Linked DNA regions of Arabidopsis thaliana. The protein of the gene in region 1 purifies or fractionates together with the protein of each later gene. This does not show direct contact. Each region holds a gene or a part of one and is shown on either strand. Other genes may lie near its edges.

Evidence for each region. Proteins that work in one complex are often made in the same cells at the same time.
Region 2: the proteins of DRM3 (region 1) and NRPD2A purify together in Arabidopsis thaliana (affinity purification with mass spectrometry, with the first as the bait; one study listed by BioGRID). This does not show direct contact.
Region 3: the proteins of DRM3 (region 1) and NRPB11 purify together in Arabidopsis thaliana (affinity purification with mass spectrometry, with the first as the bait; one study listed by BioGRID). This does not show direct contact.

What each region holds. Positions count from the first base shown.
Region 1 is NC_003074.8:5,908,361-5,915,230, forward strand, and holds DRM3 (S-adenosyl-L-methionine-dependent methyltransferases superfamily protein), read right to left. Parts: upstream 4,986-6,870; 5' UTR 4,789-4,985; exon of another isoform or gene 4,679-4,788; 5' UTR 4,597-4,678; intron 4,518-4,596; 5' UTR 4,479-4,517; coding exon 4,476-4,478; intron 4,393-4,475; coding exon 4,261-4,392; intron 4,124-4,260; coding exon 4,027-4,123; intron 3,937-4,026; coding exon 3,839-3,936; intron 3,757-3,838; coding exon 3,660-3,756; intron 3,642-3,659; exon of another isoform or gene 3,230-3,641; coding exon of another isoform or gene 3,160-3,229; coding exon 3,008-3,159; intron 2,861-3,007; coding exon 2,761-2,860; intron 2,568-2,760; coding exon 2,476-2,567; intron 2,296-2,475; coding exon 934-2,295; 3' UTR 574-933; downstream 1-573. Other genes in the region: EMB2786 (COMPLEX 1 LYR-like protein), read left to right, coding at 1-15, 257-335. UniProt on the Arabidopsis thaliana protein: Catalytically inactive DNA methyltransferase that acts as regulatory factor for DRM2-mediated DNA methylation. Required for maintenance of non-CpG DNA methylation.
Region 2 is NC_003074.8:8,568,140-8,576,036, reverse strand, and holds the start of NRPD2A (nuclear RNA polymerase D2A), read left to right. Parts: upstream 1-1,827; 5' UTR 1,828-2,025; intron 2,026-2,187; 5' UTR 2,188-2,217; coding exon 2,218-2,634; intron 2,635-3,354; coding exon 3,355-3,582; intron 3,583-4,033; coding exon 4,034-4,914; intron 4,915-5,293; coding exon 5,294-5,585; intron 5,586-5,716; coding exon 5,717-6,610; intron 6,611-6,707; coding exon 6,708-7,012; intron 7,013-7,564; coding exon 7,565-7,897. Other genes in the region: AAE16 (AMP-dependent synthetase and ligase family protein), read right to left, coding at 113-304, 617-769. UniProt on the Arabidopsis thaliana protein: DNA-dependent RNA polymerase catalyzes the transcription of DNA into RNA using the four ribonucleoside triphosphates as substrates.
Region 3 is NC_003074.8:19,317,279-19,320,915, forward strand, and holds NRPB11 (DNA-directed RNA polymerase, RBP11-like protein), read right to left. Parts: upstream 1,846-3,637; 5' UTR 1,721-1,845; coding exon 1,668-1,720; intron 1,587-1,667; coding exon 1,497-1,586; intron 1,408-1,496; coding exon 1,329-1,407; intron 1,223-1,328; coding exon 1,133-1,222; intron 1,045-1,132; coding exon 949-1,044; intron 824-948; coding exon 791-823; 3' UTR 571-790; downstream 1-570. Other genes in the region: chx28 (cation/hydrogen exchanger 28), read left to right, coding at 1-457; AT3G52100 (RING/FYVE/PHD-type zinc finger family protein), read left to right, coding at 2,065-2,096, 2,212-2,551, 2,630-2,683, 2,825-2,999, 3,078-3,127, 3,238-3,330, 3,411-3,499, 3,583-3,637.

The sequences.
Region 1 (6,870 bases):
GAAGCTTAAAGATGAGTGAGTTTTCTTTTTTTCCCCAATCTCTACTGAATACGATAACTTAAAACCTTATAATTAGATCAGATGTAAAACTTGTTCGTTGAGGCATGTTTCTGCAAAAGATGATGTTTCACACAAACACACACATATACAGCTGCTTGAGATCATATATTACAGAATACTCTTGGGATAAGTATGTTGTATACATCTATTTGAAAAGTTTGGAAAGACTCAAACTTCTCTGGTACTGTATATGTAGTGCTGCTCGGGGACTCATCAATCACATGTTGTTTGAGTCAGCGAAGCTGACAGGAGGCAAGGTTAGCCAGAGATCCTGATGCAGTCTGGTTGCAGACTCTCCCATTGTTATTCTCTCTCTATCTCTCTAGTCAATGCTTGTAGGCTAACAATGCAACTAAGTTGGCTTGAATAATAGACTTGATCGAGAAGCCTCAGTGACTCAACATTGAGGATTTTCCTGTGCAATCAATCAAGTGGTTCTCTATTTCAAATCTAATCATACAGTTTTTTTTTTACTCTGGCTTAGATTTGTTTATATTTTGGATTAGACACTTCAGAAGTTCAGATCATTTCCAGTTACTTTTGACGTAAGATGAGTATGAATTATGCAATCAACAACATTGAGCTAAAAAAAGTGCTAATATTATACATAATTGTGAACAGTACACAACAACATTGACCGCATGATTCACTGCTTATCTCTCCGAGAAGTAACATAGCAAAAAAATAAAAAAGACGATATTCCACGCTTCTATGAAGATTATGGTACAGACTGATTCATTAAAGCATCAACTGCAAAACAAGAAAAACAGTTCCGTAATTGAAAGTCTCCACGATAAAGAAAATGGAAGACTCCTTCTGAGATTAGACAAGTCTCCAGGTTCTTGAGGACGTAAAGGCTCTTGGTCAACTTCACTACATCATATCTCTGACACGTTTCGTGACACGAGCAAACTCGTTAAACAACGTATAATCAAATTCACAGGCTTCACTATTTGAGATTTCTTTAGAGAGATCAAGTGGTGTTGATGGGTTCTGGCAAATGACAAAGTCAAATCCTCCAAATCTCTGCATCAGAGTCTCCAGCCTCTTTGCCGTTAAGCTTTTGATTTCTTCAATTTGCACTAGCTCACCGGTTTGTCCCGAAGTCTGCCACCATCTTTTCAGTATGTTACGGCTCAATCCACAGGACTCTACAGAGACTACGCCTTTTAGATGGATTCCAAGACGGTCCAATGCAATTTCCGCACCACCAATCCCGCTAAAGAGTGATAAAACTGTTAAACCTTGGGGAAACATAGACTTGAGTACAGAGAGATGGTAACCCAATGTGTCTGTTTGGAAGCAGTAATCAAACAACTTCAATCTTTCAGCCAACCTTCCACCACCGATGTTTGTGTGGTTCATTGGATATCCCATAATGCACTCTAAATGTTCAGGCTCCAAGGGTGAGAGGATGTTTGGTGCTATCCAAATGAGATTGGAGGTGTGACAATGTCGAAGTATTAAAGTCTGGTCCTGTTGAGTAGGCTTTCCCTTGCATTCAGCTATACGGCGACCAATTCGTTCACAGAGAAGAGTTGCATCTTTCATATTAGAACACGTGCCGCTATTGAAATGCTTTCTGATATCCCATTGTGGCCACCAACTCCTCATGTGTGGCATTGCGTCTTGTATAGTTAATCGAGGGTTCGGGAGGGTATTAAACCTGTTAACAGTGGGAAGATTGTGCAGGTACCCTTCTGTCCTACGGAGCGCTGAACACAACCGAGTATCTACATGTTCGGGGTGAATTCCGAACAAGAAACCCGAGATCTTCGACCACCAGCTAGGAGAAAGTTCACCTAACTGTCCATAGAAGAAATAAGGTCGTCTGGCTACTTTTGGACCAAGACTCTGGGACAAACGTGGCTGCATTACACTGGGAAATTCATATGTGTTATCTTTCCACTCATCTTGCATCCATGGGGTTTCCATAAACGAACTTGAGTCACCCATATCTTCGGGCCTTAACCGTTTTCCTCTGTCATCGTAGCCAGTGTATTCTTCTGGATAGGCATTCTCATCCTCATCTTTTGGTCGCTTACCTCTCGAGGTCTCTCCCACATTGTCAGTGGCAGGGAAAGGAAAAGACTCAATACCAGGATCTGGTTTTATATTAGCAGTGCCACTCGACGAACCCCCACCACCATCCTCTTTCTGAGCACCAACCCCAACAAATCTCCAACTCTTTGAAAGACATGTACGATTCACTGCAGGAGCAGCCGCTGAAACTTTCTACAGTGACACCAAATATCATTGAGTTAAACTCCAACAATATCTTAGTTTAATTAAGAGAAGAGTGTGAGATGGTTTAGGTGCAGTAGCAGCAGCAAAAGCTCTAGTTTCAGCACTTCACTTTACAAGTGCATCATTGGAGGTCGAGTAAAAATTAATTAAAAACATTAGTGTACATACCTTTTCTATATCTTCAAGGTCATCATGGCATTCCGCAGGAAATTCACCAGTAACAATTGACTCAGCAAGGACAGAAATCTGACCTTTTGTACCTGAAGAGGTGCAAAATAGATTATATACCAGTACAACAGGACGGGCTGCAAAACAAATGATAGGATTTCTTTCACCCTAAAAGTATCATAATCACCCCCGACAACATAAACAAGATACGTTTCATGTCTACATTTTTTTCTTTCAGACATATAACAGTCATGGGATGAACAGATAAGTGCCTCAGTTGCTCACCTATCTTCTCAATTGCCATTGAAATTTCATCATTAGAGAATCCCATTTCCAGTAAACGCAAAGTCTTGTCCATTGTTTCAAACAATTGTTCATTGGGAACCTGAATTTAAAACACAAAACAAAGGTTAGAGGTAATAAAGGTAATAACAACATGAACAACACAGAATGAACACAAAAGAAAGGTAGTGGAATCTACAAAAGCATTGACAATAAAATCAACAGCTAATGTCAAAAAAGCACCAAAGACCTCAGGTCCTCGAGCAGTAACTGGAGTGACATCTTCATCTTCTTCATTGATCTCAGCACCATCAAGTGAATCTTCGGATTCCTCCGCATACTTTTCAGCTAATTGAGCAGCAACAATGAAGTCCACCATCTCATCAATTGGTGTGTCTTTACCTATCACACAGAACAAACAATCATGAAGAAAGGATTTGGGGATAGGCCAAATGATAGCTGCTATCTGCATGCTAAGTTTCTATATAGCTTTGAATAGTATAAGTATCAATTTTTTAGAAACTATTTACAAGTTTCTAATACGGTCACAGGGAATGGATTTTCCACTTTAACATTAATAAACAACAGCTTCATAAATGTTATTTCTCTTTTCAGAGAGTTATAATATACTATAAGCCTCCTTAGTTTGCCTATATTAAATGTCATACAATCAGAAGTTCCAGTATGAAGAGATGGTTAATCTATAAGAAGACAAAGAAAAAATATCGTGCAATAGTGAGAAATTGGTCTTGCAATGTACACGAGGTCTAATCACTCAAAAAATAACCTGAAAAGAAGAAATTCTAATATGTTAAACCATGAATAGACACGGACAAAAAGGTGTAACTTTGTAACATGTTTGAATTTTGAATGCAAAGCCAAAGACATTGTGAATACATTACCAAGCCTATCCAGTGCAAAGTCAACAAGATTTTCTGGAAACTTCATAGTTAGTAACGCAATCCTTATACGGTCAGTTTCGTATTCAATATCAGGTTCCTGTCAAAGAAAAGCAAGAAACATTAAGAAATTACACAGAATGAAAGACAAGACATGTGGGATCACACATTATGCGCTTTACCGGTTTGGGTTCCATTAGCCCATGAAAGCTAGGTCCAGGAGGTTCTGTTTCAGTACTCTTAGTGAGAATCTCTAATAGCAACTCAAAATCATCTTGACCTGGATGCGAAGAGGCAAACTCAGTAATCATATATACCCCAAATGAAAGTTAGCATGCATGGTAGTTTTTTACAGGAAACTGAAGAATACCATTTTCGTCAATTGCTTTCTGAACAAGAGTTGGGCAAAATCCCATCTCAATCAGCAATGACTTAACATTACTTCCAGAAGAACTAGCAGCATTGTCCTGCACATCAAGTATGAAACAATAAGAACCTTTCTAAACCACTACTTGTTCTAAACAGTAAAATGTAGACACAGTGGATGTTTAAGAATCTTAGCCACTTATGTCCTTTATGGTATAGAAAGGGTAACAAAACATACACCAATCTGCTGAGGGAAAGAGGTGTCGCAGGGCAAATCAAAGTCCAAGGTCTCTGGTTTTGGAAACAGTATCTGCTCATTCCTTTCATGATTAGAGGAACCTCCACTTCCATTTCGTCTACGCATATCAGCCTGCAAGATTCCAGAAAAACTTATGAAAAACATGCAACACAAAAAACAAAAGATAACATTCCCAAAGTAGCCAAATTCCATACCATTTGAATTAAAATTCACACACAAAATCTCACATGAAAGCCCTGCAGATAGATACCAGAGAGATTATGTCAGTGTCCCCAAATAACACAAAAGATGAACTTTAAATGGAAAAGAATTAACCTCATTGATGTTGATTTTATCCCATAAACGGCAAGGGAGAAGATGGAATCAATAAAGCCCCAAAAATAGAACACTCCTCGAACTAAGAGATGAAACCAACCACGAGTGACACTTAAAAAAGCAATTCCGAAAAATCACACAAATTCCAGAGATTGCGACAAAGAGAGCGAGAGAGAGGAAGACGGTGCATGCCTGTGCAGTGGTCCGCGTCTCACCCAATCGAGCCCAGTGCGGAGGAGGAGAAGCTAAAAAGTTATGAAGTTGATCGCAATGTTGCGCGCCGCGTGGACTACACTGCCGAGACTAATTCGGAATTTTATTGATTCCCTTTGAGCAGTCCGGTAGATCGAGCGCGTGAGGAAAAAACGAACGGTCCAGATCATAGAGTTTGGAACTTCGACCAACTTTCTATTACAACTATGTTGTAGTTCTGTTTTAATATTTCAAGTTTTTAGAATTTTAAATTTATGTTTCAGATGCTAAAATTTGTATACACTAAAAACATCATTTACCAAAACTTGATGAAAAACGAAAGAAACTACTCTCAATTCCCAAGCTTTGAGAAAGATTAAATTTTGCAAAGATAATTAATAGATTTCGAGCTATTTCTCGACAAAGATTATGTTTTTTTGGCCCAGTTTTGTTTAGTTTGTAACAAATTGGAGCACCGAGGTTATGTGACCCAAATGTACGTAGACTAGTCGAGGCCAATGTATATATAGTACTACTATTGTACCTGAAAGATGATCAAACAAATTAATAAGTTGAGTGATTGGTTCTGTTAATGCAAGATTTTTTTTACTAATCTTCATCAAAGAACATGGCAAAATAAACAAAGCAAGAACTACGCCTGAAACAATCTATAGATTTTGTAAATGGACTAATTAATGACATGGTTTCTTCCTTTGCTTCGTGCATGGTGTAGGTTGCTAGATTTGCACTGAATTAATGACATGGTTTACATTTCTGCTTTATAGATTCAACGTTGTCGTCTTTGTGAATTCCGTCTAGATTGACGCTCATCAGATAAACCCTATATTTCAAAATCATGATCGCATGAAACTCCTTCACTTGTTTCTTCTATGCTTTGTTGCCTGGTTGGAATATTGAGAGAAAGAAGAAATAAGGTAAGAGGTACGAGATAATATCTCTTCTCCTTAGAGACAACAACAGAACAAAACAGAAAATGTTTTATTGAACTGAAACTTGTTAATATTTACATGACAATACAATATTAAGTTTATATAAAAAAAAAAACAAATAGACACAACAACCCAATTAGTTGTGTCTCTTTTTACTTGTGCCCTTTGAGTGAAACAACACAAACTTACAACCGTTAGCTGAAAACTCAATTACGGACCAACACTCCCCCTTAATTGAGCTTCGCTCTTCCACTTAGCTCCCTTCTCAGTTTGTCACAACTTTCGGCTTCAAACTCTTTAGTAGTAGCATCACACTTCCCCCAAATAGTCTTACCCAATTCGTAACACTTCTTATCATGATCTTTAGTAAAGTCACCACTTTTCTTTTTCTCAATCTACTTTCTCAAATTTCTCTCTCGTTTCAACAAATCCGATAGTGAAGAAGAAATCTCAGCCTTTGTTTACTCCATCGACGGCGAAGAAATCACCGGAGATGCGACTCCCAACGGTTTCTTTGAAGTGGATGCGACATCCGACGATTTCTTCGCCGTTGAGAAAAAGAAAAGTGGTGACTAAACTAAAAATCATGATAAGAAGTGTTACGAATTGGCTAAGACTGTTTGGGGAAGTGATGGTGATGCTGCTACTCTTGTGAAGCCAGAGAGTTTGAAGCATGCTTCTGTTTTTGCCTGGCCGTAACCCTAGAGAGCACCTCCTCTGCCAAATCCAGAGGAAGATCCGAAATATCTTCGTCATTGTTTCAATAAATAGTAATTAGGGTTTTACTTCCACACCTTTAGTCTTTTTTATAAAGGAATTAGTTATAAATTAGGTTACCGCCTTTGTGTCCGGGCCCAAGGAGACTACACAACGGGCCTCGATAAGAAAACCCTCATTTGTGAACGATGACAACATAGGATCATAACTATCGTTTCATAGGCAATTCTATAAGCCATGTGTGTAGTTCACTCAAAATATGTATGAACACTTTGTCTTTATCAAAACAGTGCGACTTTTAACAAGATAAAACATGAAACGATGTAAACATGTAAATTCTTCAAATGTGAAATCAATCCATATCTTATCAAATTGATTCATACACACACACAAAGTTTGCCTAATACTCAATGAT
Region 2 (7,897 bases), 2.7 Mb from region 1:
TTAACTCTTAAACTTCAGTTTTTTCCCTAAGTTCTGTCATTTGCTTTAAAAACCTCTATTTCAAAAGTGTGGGGATCTAAAATAATAGCAATGAGATGCGAAGTAGTGTTACCTGTCTGTACGTGAATGTAGAAGGCGGGTCATGATACGGATCTACCACCGCAACTCTGTCACCGTACTTCTCCACAGATGATCTCCAAATATCAGGAACAGACTTCCATTCATTAGAGCTCAAAGCAGCCTCCCTTGGCAATGATAAGCGTTCTAAGAATGGCGAACACCGCCTTAACTCCTTCTCCTGAATCTATAAGAACGGTACACAATTGATGTTACATATAATTCAGGAAATGAACCATAAGGTAAACTTACAAGAACCCTATAAAAGCCTTTCAGGATCAAGCTGTTTAAACCCTGGTCATCAGAAGCAATTCAGCTTTCATAAGACAAGTATCCTAAACTAATAAGACTCAGAAGTCAGAGCCACTCGTTGTCTATTTTGGTGCAACAGCTAAACTTGAACCTTCCCCAAAGTCAATTCATTTCTTTAGATTACTTACTTCAAAAATCAAAGTGAAAGGAGCAATTTTTTAAGTCCACAAACCAAAAAGGAACTCGCCTTGGATTCGCAGCGAACTCGAAATCCCCTGCGTGAAGTTCTGCAGCCAAAAGCCTTGTAACCAAACACCAATCTCATCCCAGAAACTTGAAATTCAGGAGCTGAGGAGCAGTGAGAAACGAGAATCGAAGCTCCGAGAGACGTTGAAGCCATGGCTGAGGAGATAAGAGGTTATCGTGATGAAGTTGCTTGCATAGAGAGAATATATGAGAGGAGAAAGAGAGAAAGATGAAGAAGCAAAGAAAGGTAGAAAGAAAGAGACGAGAAAGTAGGTCGATGTCATGATTACGATTTTTCACAGGAAAGATCAGTTCCAAGTTGGTTGGCACCGCTACAGAAGCATGGCTTCTTCAGACTCTCAGAGATAATAAAACAAAAAACAGAGCTCAATACTTACACTTATATAATAACTTTTTATTTACTTATATATTATATTTCTATAATTAGATCAGATTTAACCTAATAAATCAAACTACCCATAATTATGATGTCCCAAATTTGGTAACTATTTGATGATTATTTCTAAACTGTAGGAGCAACCCCAACTTTGTATCTTAGCTAATTTTTAGGTATAAAAGTGATTAAATTTAATGAAACCAATAAACTTTAGCTAAGATAAACATCTTTATTAAGCCTCTCCGTCACTCACCAAAAAAAAAAACATCTTTATTTTATTTTTTTTGGTTAAACAAAAACATCTTTATTAAGATATTTTCTTAAAACTAAGAAAAGCATATGTGTTGTGTTTTGAGTGGGTAGACATTGTGTTGAAATAGTTTGTTGTTTCTTAAAATTCTAATCGTTCTTAACCATTGAAGTAGAAATTGGTTAAACTTCTTCCTAACTTTTCTTAACTTAGTAAAAACAACATTTTAATTTAAAATAAGCTTAAGATCCAAAATTAAAAATTAATTGATTTTAAACCATTGGGATTGCTCTGAGCTTTTTTAGTGAATTATGTGTTGTTTTTTTTCTTTGTGTTTTGGTCAAAATTAAGTTATATATGAAATTTATTAAACCAAACAACCAAATCGAATTAGATGTAAAAACCAAAATGTAGATGTTACAAATTTTGGAAAAAAAAAAAGATGTTACAAATTTTATGTCATGTGAACTTCTAAATATATTTCCTTTTCACTTTAAAATAAAAATAAAATAAAACTTAAACATAAAAATATAGATACCAAAGAGCAAAATTTAATAATATTGTCTACTAGTACTAGTGACGTCAATTTCTTCACTTCTCTTTGACTGCTTCGCTTAACCACTGAAAAAGTGTGCCAAGGGTTTTCTACGTCGAATCTCTCCGCATTCTCAGCGATTTTCCGGCGACGTTTACTCTGCACTCCTCCGACACCGCCGTTTTACTCCATCGTGCCAGCTTTAAGCAATCAAGGTACCTATTTTAGGTAATACGCTTTGATTCTGCTTTTAAGCATCGGAGAATATGTTATGGAGAATGATTCGGTTCTAAGGGAAAGTTGTTGATTTCGTGTTTGTATTCGCATGATTGCATTTTCGTGGTTCATGATTTTCACAGCTTTTTAATCAATTTCTCTGTCTTTGTTTAGGGTTTTTGTTCGTACAGTGTGTTTTGAGGTATGCCAGATATGGACATTGATGTGAAGGATCTTGAAGAGTTCGAGGCTACTACTGGGGAGATCAATCTATCTGAGCTAGGAGAAGGTTTTCTGCAGAGTTTCTGCAAAAAAGCTGCAACTTCTTTCTTTGATAAGTATGGACTTATAAGTCATCAGCTCAACTCCTACAACTACTTCATTGAACACGGGCTTCAGAATGTGTTTCAATCCTTTGGTGAGATGCTTGTGGAACCGTCTTTTGATGTTGTAAAGAAGAAGGATAATGATTGGAGATACGCAACGGTGAAGTTCGGAGAAGTCACTGTGGAGAAGCCTACTTTCTTTTCGGATGACAAGGAGCTTGAGTTTCTCCCATGGCATGCTAGGCTTCAGAACATGACATACTCTGCAAGGATCAAAGTCAATGTCCAAGTTGAGGTAACAGAAATTCTTTGTCGAAATTAAGTAACCTTGTCTGGATTTGATGAATGATAAAGAACACATGGTATAAGCTTATTTCTTGATGTTTCTACTAGACTCTTTCTGACACATATATGAAGATGTTGACATACACTGAGGTTCCTGTCATAGATTTCTCAATTTAACTTGCCATCAAATAATTTACTAAGGGTTAAGGAACATATTTGTCTGAAACTGGTTTCACTCTTTTTGGCTTTACAAGTTTTCTGTAATTGGATTTGGTTCCTTATTTGCATTCGCTGGATTTCTTACCTGAGCAAAATATCTAGTAAAAGAGATTTATTACAGTTACATGTTCGTGTGAAGTAGAGGTGTATTTCAAGCTTGGTTGTGTTTAAGATTGATGATTTTGTCTGCTCCCAATCTTTAGATGTTTCTTGTTTAAAATTTGAATTGTGATTACTTTTCCTTGTAGTGGTGGGTATTCAAACGAAATAAGCTTTAGTTTGTTTCATTTTAAAGTTTGGATGCAATAAAAGAAAAACATCTTCAGCTTTTTTTTTTATTTAGTTCTTCCCCACTGCCTCACTGTGCTTTAGTTTGAGTGTTTTATGCTTGTGTGCAATGACTCTTGTACTGTCAAACTTTTGATGATGTTTCTGTTTTGCTGTCCATGTATCTTATTCTTATAAATGTAGTTTATTGTCTAACTGCTTCTTCACTCTATAAATTGACTAGGTGTTCAAGAATACTGTTGTTAAAAGCGACAAATTCAAGACAGGACAAGACAACTATGTCGAGAAGAAGATACTGGATGTCAAAAAGCAGGACATTCTAATTGGTAGCATTCCTGTCATGGTGAAATCTATCCTTTGCAAAACAAGCGAGAAAGGGAAAGAAAACTGCAAAAAGGGGGATTGTGCCTTTGATCAGGGTGGATATTTCGTGATAAAGGGGGCTGAGAAGGTGAGTTTAACTAATACATACATATATGCATATTGCCATTCAATACGTACAATAACTTTATTTTCTATGCCAAAACGGATTTTGTTTGTCAGCAATCCATAAAACGGATTATAGTTACAATTTTCTATCATCAGATAATAGTGTTTATCAGCAAAAAGATGTTACAAATTAGACAATAACCTATTTGGTTCATTTTATTTTCCTAATGGAGATGAAGTAAGAAATTAAGAAACTTAACTTATTTATGACTTTGTATACTTCGTTAGCATCAAAGATATAAACTTTTTCTTTCCTTTCTGGCTTGACCATGAGGCCATGAGTATTCAAATCTTACAGGAAGCGTTCTTTGCAATCTTAGGCTCTGGGACAGATGATTTGACTCTAATATATTCTGGAAAAAATATTTTCAAGTTGTTATACTTCTCCCTAACGTTATTATATTGTTTTGCAGGTGTTTATAGCTCAAGAACAGATGTGCACAAAGAGACTGTGGATTTCTAATTCACCATGGACAGTCTCCTTCAGGTCCGAAAATAAAAGAAATAGATTCATTGTGCGCCTCTCGGAGAATGAGAAAGCAGAAGACTATAAGAGAAGGGAGAAAGTACTGACAGTGTACTTCTTGTCGACTGAGATTCCAGTCTGGCTCCTCTTCTTTGCGCTAGGTGTTTCGTCAGACAAAGAAGCCATGGATCTAATTGCTTTTGATGGTGATGATGCAAGCATTACCAACAGTCTCATAGCTTCTATCCATGTAGCTGATGCAGTTTGTGAAGCTTTTCGCTGTGGGAACAATGCTTTAACATATGTTGAACAGCAGATCAAAAGCACCAAATTCCCTCCTGCTGAAAGTGTGGATGAGTGCCTCCATCTGTATTTGTTTCCAGGCCTCCAAAGTTTGAAGAAGAAAGCTCGATTCCTGGGCTATATGGTGAAGTGCCTTCTGAACTCGTATGCGGGAAAAAGAAAATGCGAAAACAGGGACAGTTTCCGGAATAAGCGAATTGAGCTCGCTGGAGAACTATTGGAGAGGGAGATAAGGGTGCATCTGGCACATGCTAGAAGAAAGATGACCAGGGCCATGCAGAAACACCTCTCAGGCGATGGTGATTTGAAGCCTATTGAGCATTATTTGGATGCTTCTGTTATCACAAATGGGCTTAGTAGAGCCTTCTCTACTGGAGCATGGTCTCATCCTTTCAGGAAGATGGAAAGGGTTTCAGGTGTTGTGGCTAATTTGGGTCGTGCAAATCCATTGCAGACTCTGATTGATCTGAGGAGAACGCGACAGCAAGTCTTATATACCGGCAAGGTTGGAGATGCTAGATATCCGTAAGTGAATTCCACCTCCTCTGGTATATTTAAATATATCTCACGTATTTTAACTTACTGGTCTGGTCTGCATTTACTCCATTTTACATGTCTTCAGACTGTTTTAAAGATATTCGTAATAACTTTAATTCAATGTAGTATATGATGCCGATCACTGTTTCTGCAGTCTCTTGTCTGTGTATAATACTTATTTTGTATAGATGTTACTGCTATTAAAAAACTCTGATACTGTCTTTCTTGTTTCTTTCTCCCTTGGTCAATCTATCTGTTGAACTCTTGAGATTATCCATTTTGGTTCCTTTTCAATGTGAGCGGTTAGACAATTAAATCGTGTTGGGAAACTGAACTATAGCTGCATTGTTTGTAATGTTGGCCACAGGCACCCCTCTCACTGGGGCAGAGTATGCTTTTTGTCAACTCCAGACGGTGAAAATTGTGGTCTTGTGAAGAACATGTCTCTTCTGGGACTTGTGAGCACCCAAAGTTTGGAGTCTGTGGTGGAAAAGCTCTTCGCTTGTGGAATGGAAGAGCTGATGGATGATACATGCACACCATTGTTTGGCAAACATAAAGTTCTTCTCAATGGAGACTGGGTTGGATTATGTGCAGATTCTGAATCCTTTGTCGCGGAGTTAAAAAGCAGGCGGCGCCAAAGTGAATTACCTCGTGAGGTATCTTCTGTTTCAGCAAATCTCTTGCTATATTTTGATATTCTTGTGTTACTTGGTATTTGCTTTGGATTTTTCTGCTTCAGATGTGTCTATGTCGAATATTGTTTATATATATGAAACGTTCTCTGCAGATGGAAATCAAGCGAGATAAAGATGACAATGAGGTAAGAATTTTCACTGATGCTGGTAGACTACTCCGACCTCTCTTGGTTGTGGAAAATCTCCAAAAGTTGAAGCAAGAAAAACCTTCACAGTATCCTTTTGACCATCTTCTTGACCATGGGATTCTCGAGCTGATCGGGATTGAGGAAGAAGAAGACTGTAATACAGCATGGGGAATCAAACAGCTTCTGAAGGAACCAAAGATATACACACATTGCGAATTGGACCTGTCATTCTTGTTGGGTGTGAGCTGTGCAGTTGTCCCATTTGCAAATCACGACCATGGGAGAAGAGTTCTCTACCAGTCCCAGAAGCACTGCCAACAAGCCATTGGATTCTCATCAACGAACCCTAACATCCGCTGCGATACGCTGTCCCAGCAGCTGTTCTATCCTCAGAAGCCACTGTTCAAGACATTGGCGTCGGAGTGTCTTAAAAAAGAAGTGCTGTTCAATGGCCAGAACGCAATTGTTGCTGTGAATGTTCATCTCGGGTACAACCAAGAGGATTCCATTGTGATGAACAAGGCTTCATTGGAACGTGGTATGTTCCGTTCAGAGCAGATTAGAAGCTACAAAGCAGAGGTTGATGCTAAAGACTCAGAGAAGAGGAAGAAGATGGATGAGCTTGTTCAGTTTGGAAAGACACACAGCAAAATCGGCAAAGTAGACAGCCTTGAAGATGACGGGTTTCCTTTCATTGGTGCTAACATGAGTACTGGCGATATTGTCATTGGCAGATGCACCGAGTCTGGGGCTGATCACAGTATAAAGCTCAAGCACACTGAGAGAGGAATTGTGCAAAAAGTGGTATTATCATCTAATGATGAAGGGAAGAATTTTGCTGCGGTTTCTCTGAGACAGGTAAGTTCCAGATCATACTAAATCGAGCTGTTTTTTCAGAGAATGCATTCCTATGTATGAATCGAATGTTCCATTGATTGGCTTTTACATCTTACAGGTTCGTTCTCCATGCCTTGGAGATAAGTTTTCCAGTATGCATGGCCAGAAGGGTGTTTTAGGCTACCTAGAGGAACAGCAGAATTTTCCTTTCACGATCCAAGGCATAGTTCCTGATATTGTGATAAACCCGCACGCTTTCCCTTCTAGGCAAACACCAGGTCAACTCTTGGAGGCTGCTCTCTCCAAAGGAATCGCTTGTCCTATACAAAAGGAGGGTAGCTCTGCTGCATACACCAAATTGACACGTCATGCCACTCCTTTCTCCACTCCGGGTGTCACTGAAATCACCGAGCAGCTTCACAGGTACATTCTTCACATTGTCTCTTGGTTTTAGCTCGTAAAACAGAATATAAAATTATATGCTATAACAGATTTACATTTGCTTCCTATACAAATAGATGATATCATTAAGGGCAGGAACATATTATTGATAATATTTCCTCGTTGAAGATGTTTAAACTTGGAGACTTTGGCTACAGAATTTCCAAAAGTTGATTGAGCTAATATACTGCACAAGGCACTAAGCTAGATTTGAGCACCTTACTTGAAACATGTCATAGTGGATCTTTATTTTGTTTTCTAGGAGTACTAGAAGTGAGCATGAGTTATCTGTCTCTGTAAGACTAAAAAACTAAGAAGTTCAATGTTCTATGGTTGATTAATTTCTTGTATTGTGCCTGAAAAACGTCTAGAGAATACAGAAAAATAGGCTCAAGAGTCATGTACCAGTATATAATTAGTTAGAGGATTGATGCTGTGAGCCTTGTGATCTATGTATAATTCATTTAACCTTTCTTAGATTATTGTTGATTCTTGAGTCCTGATTCATTACCAATGGTAAATATTTGTGATTAGGGCCGGCTTTTCAAGATGGGGAAACGAAAGGGTCTACAACGGTAGATCAGGTGAGATGATGCGTTCTATGATATTCATGGGCCCAACTTTCTACCAGCGACTTGTCCACATGTCAGAGGACAAAGTCAAGTTCAGGAACACTGGACCAGTCCACCCGCTCACACGCCAGCCAGTTGCAGACAGGAAGAGATTTGGCGGGATAAAATTTGGAGAAATGGAGCGAGACTGCCTAATAGCTCACGGTGCATCAGCTAATCTGCATGAGCGTCTCTTCACTCTAAGTGACTCTTCTCAGATGCACATCTGCAGAAAATGTAAGACCTATGCGAATGT
Region 3 (3,637 bases), about 13 Mb from region 1:
TGCTGTGAAATTAAAGGTTATACGTTTCTTGGAAGACAAGAGCTCTCAAAACGCACAAAAACGAAGCAGCATCCTGAACAGAGCGAGTGTGGTAGATCAAGAGGAGGAAATGAAGCTTGATGATGAATGTTTTGCTGAGTTCTACGAAAGATACATAGCTGGAGGTGGAAGAGTGTCTTACATGGAGAAGCATCTCACCAACTCCTCTGAGACTTTCACAGCTCTTAAATCACTAGATGGAGAGTATGGGCTGGTGATTGTAGGAAGAGGAGGGGGAAGAGCGAGCAGTGGGTTAACCACCGGCCTCAACGACTGGCAGCAATGTCCAGAGCTTGGTCCCATAGGTGACGTTCTTTCAGGATCAGATTTCTCACACAACACATCAATGTTAATTATTCAGCAGCAGCGTACTCGGGGTCAGCTAGAAGGGCTTCATGATGACTTCACTATACTGTGAATATCTGTACAAATGCACTTTACTTAGTAGCTTGGGAAGAGTAGTAGCTTCACCATCACAACTCTTAAAGAGACTTTGTACAATAGTTCAAACATTAAGCGGTTTATGTAGATAGAATGGTAAAAAGAAGAGGTAATCTAAGCATTACTTCATAGCATCCTGAAATGGTGTTGAAACATAGAGTTAAAAGAAGTTACAGGCCGATTTGTTTTTGATTTATACAAAGCATAACTAGGGAAAATTTCCCAAGCTCATTATTAGTCTTGATTGGTGCTTAGCAAAAGACAATGTAAAACGTTTTCCCCGATGTGCTGATGGAGAACTCCAAGTTCCTTAAAACTGATTCGAAAACTTGGCCACCTCTGCCTGAAAACACAGAAGGGTATACCATAAGACCAGGTACATCAAACAACATCAATAGCATTTGATATTCGTCTAGCTTATTAACCACATAATCAGATAAGTATATCCGAAGAGAGAAACTTATGTACCTCAAACTGGTTCTTCAAGTAGTCGAGCTCCTTGTCCAAGTCATTGATGGCCTGGTTGTATGCTTGCATTGGGGAAGACTGGCTTGTTGTGTGAATCTACATACAGAAACCACTTTCACAATTAAACAACAACATACAAGATCTTTCTATAAGTCCTTAAGCAACCAGTAATCCCAGAGGAAACTGTTAACACTAGAAGCTTAAACCAAGAAATATTCACGGTTTCCAAACAACCATACACTACTTTTAAGTTCCTAAACCAATCTTTTGGATCCTAAGGTCAATCAATGAACTGAAAAAAACGCAGAGGATAGCATTGTTCTTTCCAATTCAAAGCAACAGGCTCTACAGTAGAAGCAACTGAAAAACTTGGAACTTACCCTCACTATGATTTTGTACTTAAGAGGATGAGGAAGTTGGTATCCAGCAAACAAGACATTCTCGTCGCGATGAAGTTGCCTAAAACAAAAATTTCAGAACAGAGCTGACAAAAATTAGGGCTTTCTTCTTTCTGAGAAAAGAGTTGCAAAATCAACAAAAAGACGTACATGCGGACAATGTTTCCAATCGTATGGTCTTCTCTCTCAACCGTGAAGGAAGCAGCATTGATGATCTTCGTATCCCTATCATAAGAAACCCTAGAACATAGAAATCGAGAGGGTTTAGCACATGTAAGAGGACTATCGAGTATGATTTCGAGTGATAGAAACTTCAATTACTTCTTGGTGCCTTCAGGGACGACGAATCGCTCATATCGTTCGGGAGCATTCATGGCTTAATCGGAGATTTCAAGCTTCGCTCTCTTTTTCGCCGCAGAGAGACAGTCAAGAGTTCTTCAGTTTCTTTCTGGCAAACAAAATATAATACGACGTCGTTTTTCATAAAAGAAAAAAGATCGAATCTCCACGTGTTATATTATTATTGGTGTATACAGTTTGGGTCGGATCGGGCCGATAAAACATAATATTTCCGTTTAAGGACCTCTAGGTTTATATTATTTACACAATAAAGGACGAGTGATTTAATTCAGAAACCTAACAAAAAATTCAGGAAAAAAAGAAAAGAAGTCAGATCCCTAAAAATCGAACCCGAAAGCGTAAAACTTGAAAACCGACTATGGCCTTTCACGTAGCTTGTCCAATTACATGGTATGTTTTTTTTTCTTTCTTTTGGCGCCTCCTTTACTCGTTGGCTTGTTTGTTTTTACTAATCGAATTGTTCTAATTTGGGGGTTTTCTTCTTTCTTTCGTTCTTTCTCCGCAGCCGGAAAATTTGCTTCTGCGTTTTGGGGTTTTCTCGGAATCTTCATGGTAATGAAGTCAAGGATGTGTATCTCAAAGAGATCCATTCTCTTCAGGAGTTCGTGCGAAACCCCTGGGATGCTGAGGTTTCCAAGGACGGTACCGTTCAGATCCATGTGCCTAAGCTTGCTGTTTTCGATACTGGTCCTCGCATTGCGGCTAGAAATGTTGGTGTTGGGAGTGATTCGGCGATGGAGGTTGTTGCTGCATCATCGAATTTGGTACCAGCTAAACGCACCTTGGTGTTGCAGAAGAAGGCTGTGGAAGTTTATGCTGCGAATGATTGTTCTGGCGACTTAGAGGTTCGAATTCTTACTTGCGAAACTTGTTTTTGTGGTTAGGGGTTACTGCTATGTCAATTGAATTGAACTTGTTTATAGGAATCTGTCTTTGTGAGAAAACGTGTTTTCAGTGATGTTGATTATCTGTATCTCGTGTATGTGTTTTGGTGTTGTCCTGTCTTTTCGGGTTCTGTAATCTATGATTTATATGTAAACTACTTGTGATTTTTTGGATGATTATGAAGTCTATTCTCGTCAAGACACTAATTCAATGTTATGTCTTTCTCTATGTAGGTTTCAGTCAAAGACCTCAATGAAGAAGATCATGATCATCACAGTGCAAGCATAACATGTCACATGTGCTATTTGGTTGAAGTTGGGAAGAGTGAGAGAGCCAAGATGCTTTCTTGCAAATGTTGTGGGAAGAAGTATCATAGAAACTGCGTGAAGTCTTGGGCCCAACATAGAGGTATTGTTTCATAGGAATCTATTGTTTATGACTTATGAGTCTTTCTGCCTAGATTCTTATACCGGTTTTTGCTAGCAGATCTTTTTAATTGGAGCTCTTGGGCGTGCCCATCTTGCCGAATCTGTGAGGTATGTTCGGACACAACTTTGTGCTCAATGATTATTCTTGCTCTTTACATGCTGGGCTAGGTATGACTGCTGCTTGATTATTTGTATTCTTTTGATCATTTTTCCTTTAGGGCTGCGGGACTTTAGGGGATCCAAAAAAGTTTATGTTCTGCAAAAGATGTGATGATGCATATCATTGTGATTGCCAACATCCTCGGCACAAGGTATAGTATTTATTGCGTCTGTATAAGGTTCTTATCTTATCTTTTGCAAATTGGTTTATTTTAATCTCTGAATATTACAGAATGTTAGTTCTGGACCCTATTTGTGTCCTAAGCACACCAAATGTTACAGTTGTGAGTCTACAGTCCCTGGGAATGGCCAGAGCTTACGGTATTTAACTTTTTGCCTTGTGATACTTGAAATTTATTCATGTAAAGTGCACTATCTCTTATTATTCCTTCTAAACTTTGCAGGTGGTTTTTGGGGCATACTTGTTGTGATGCTTGTGGAAGGTTGTTTGTTAAGGGG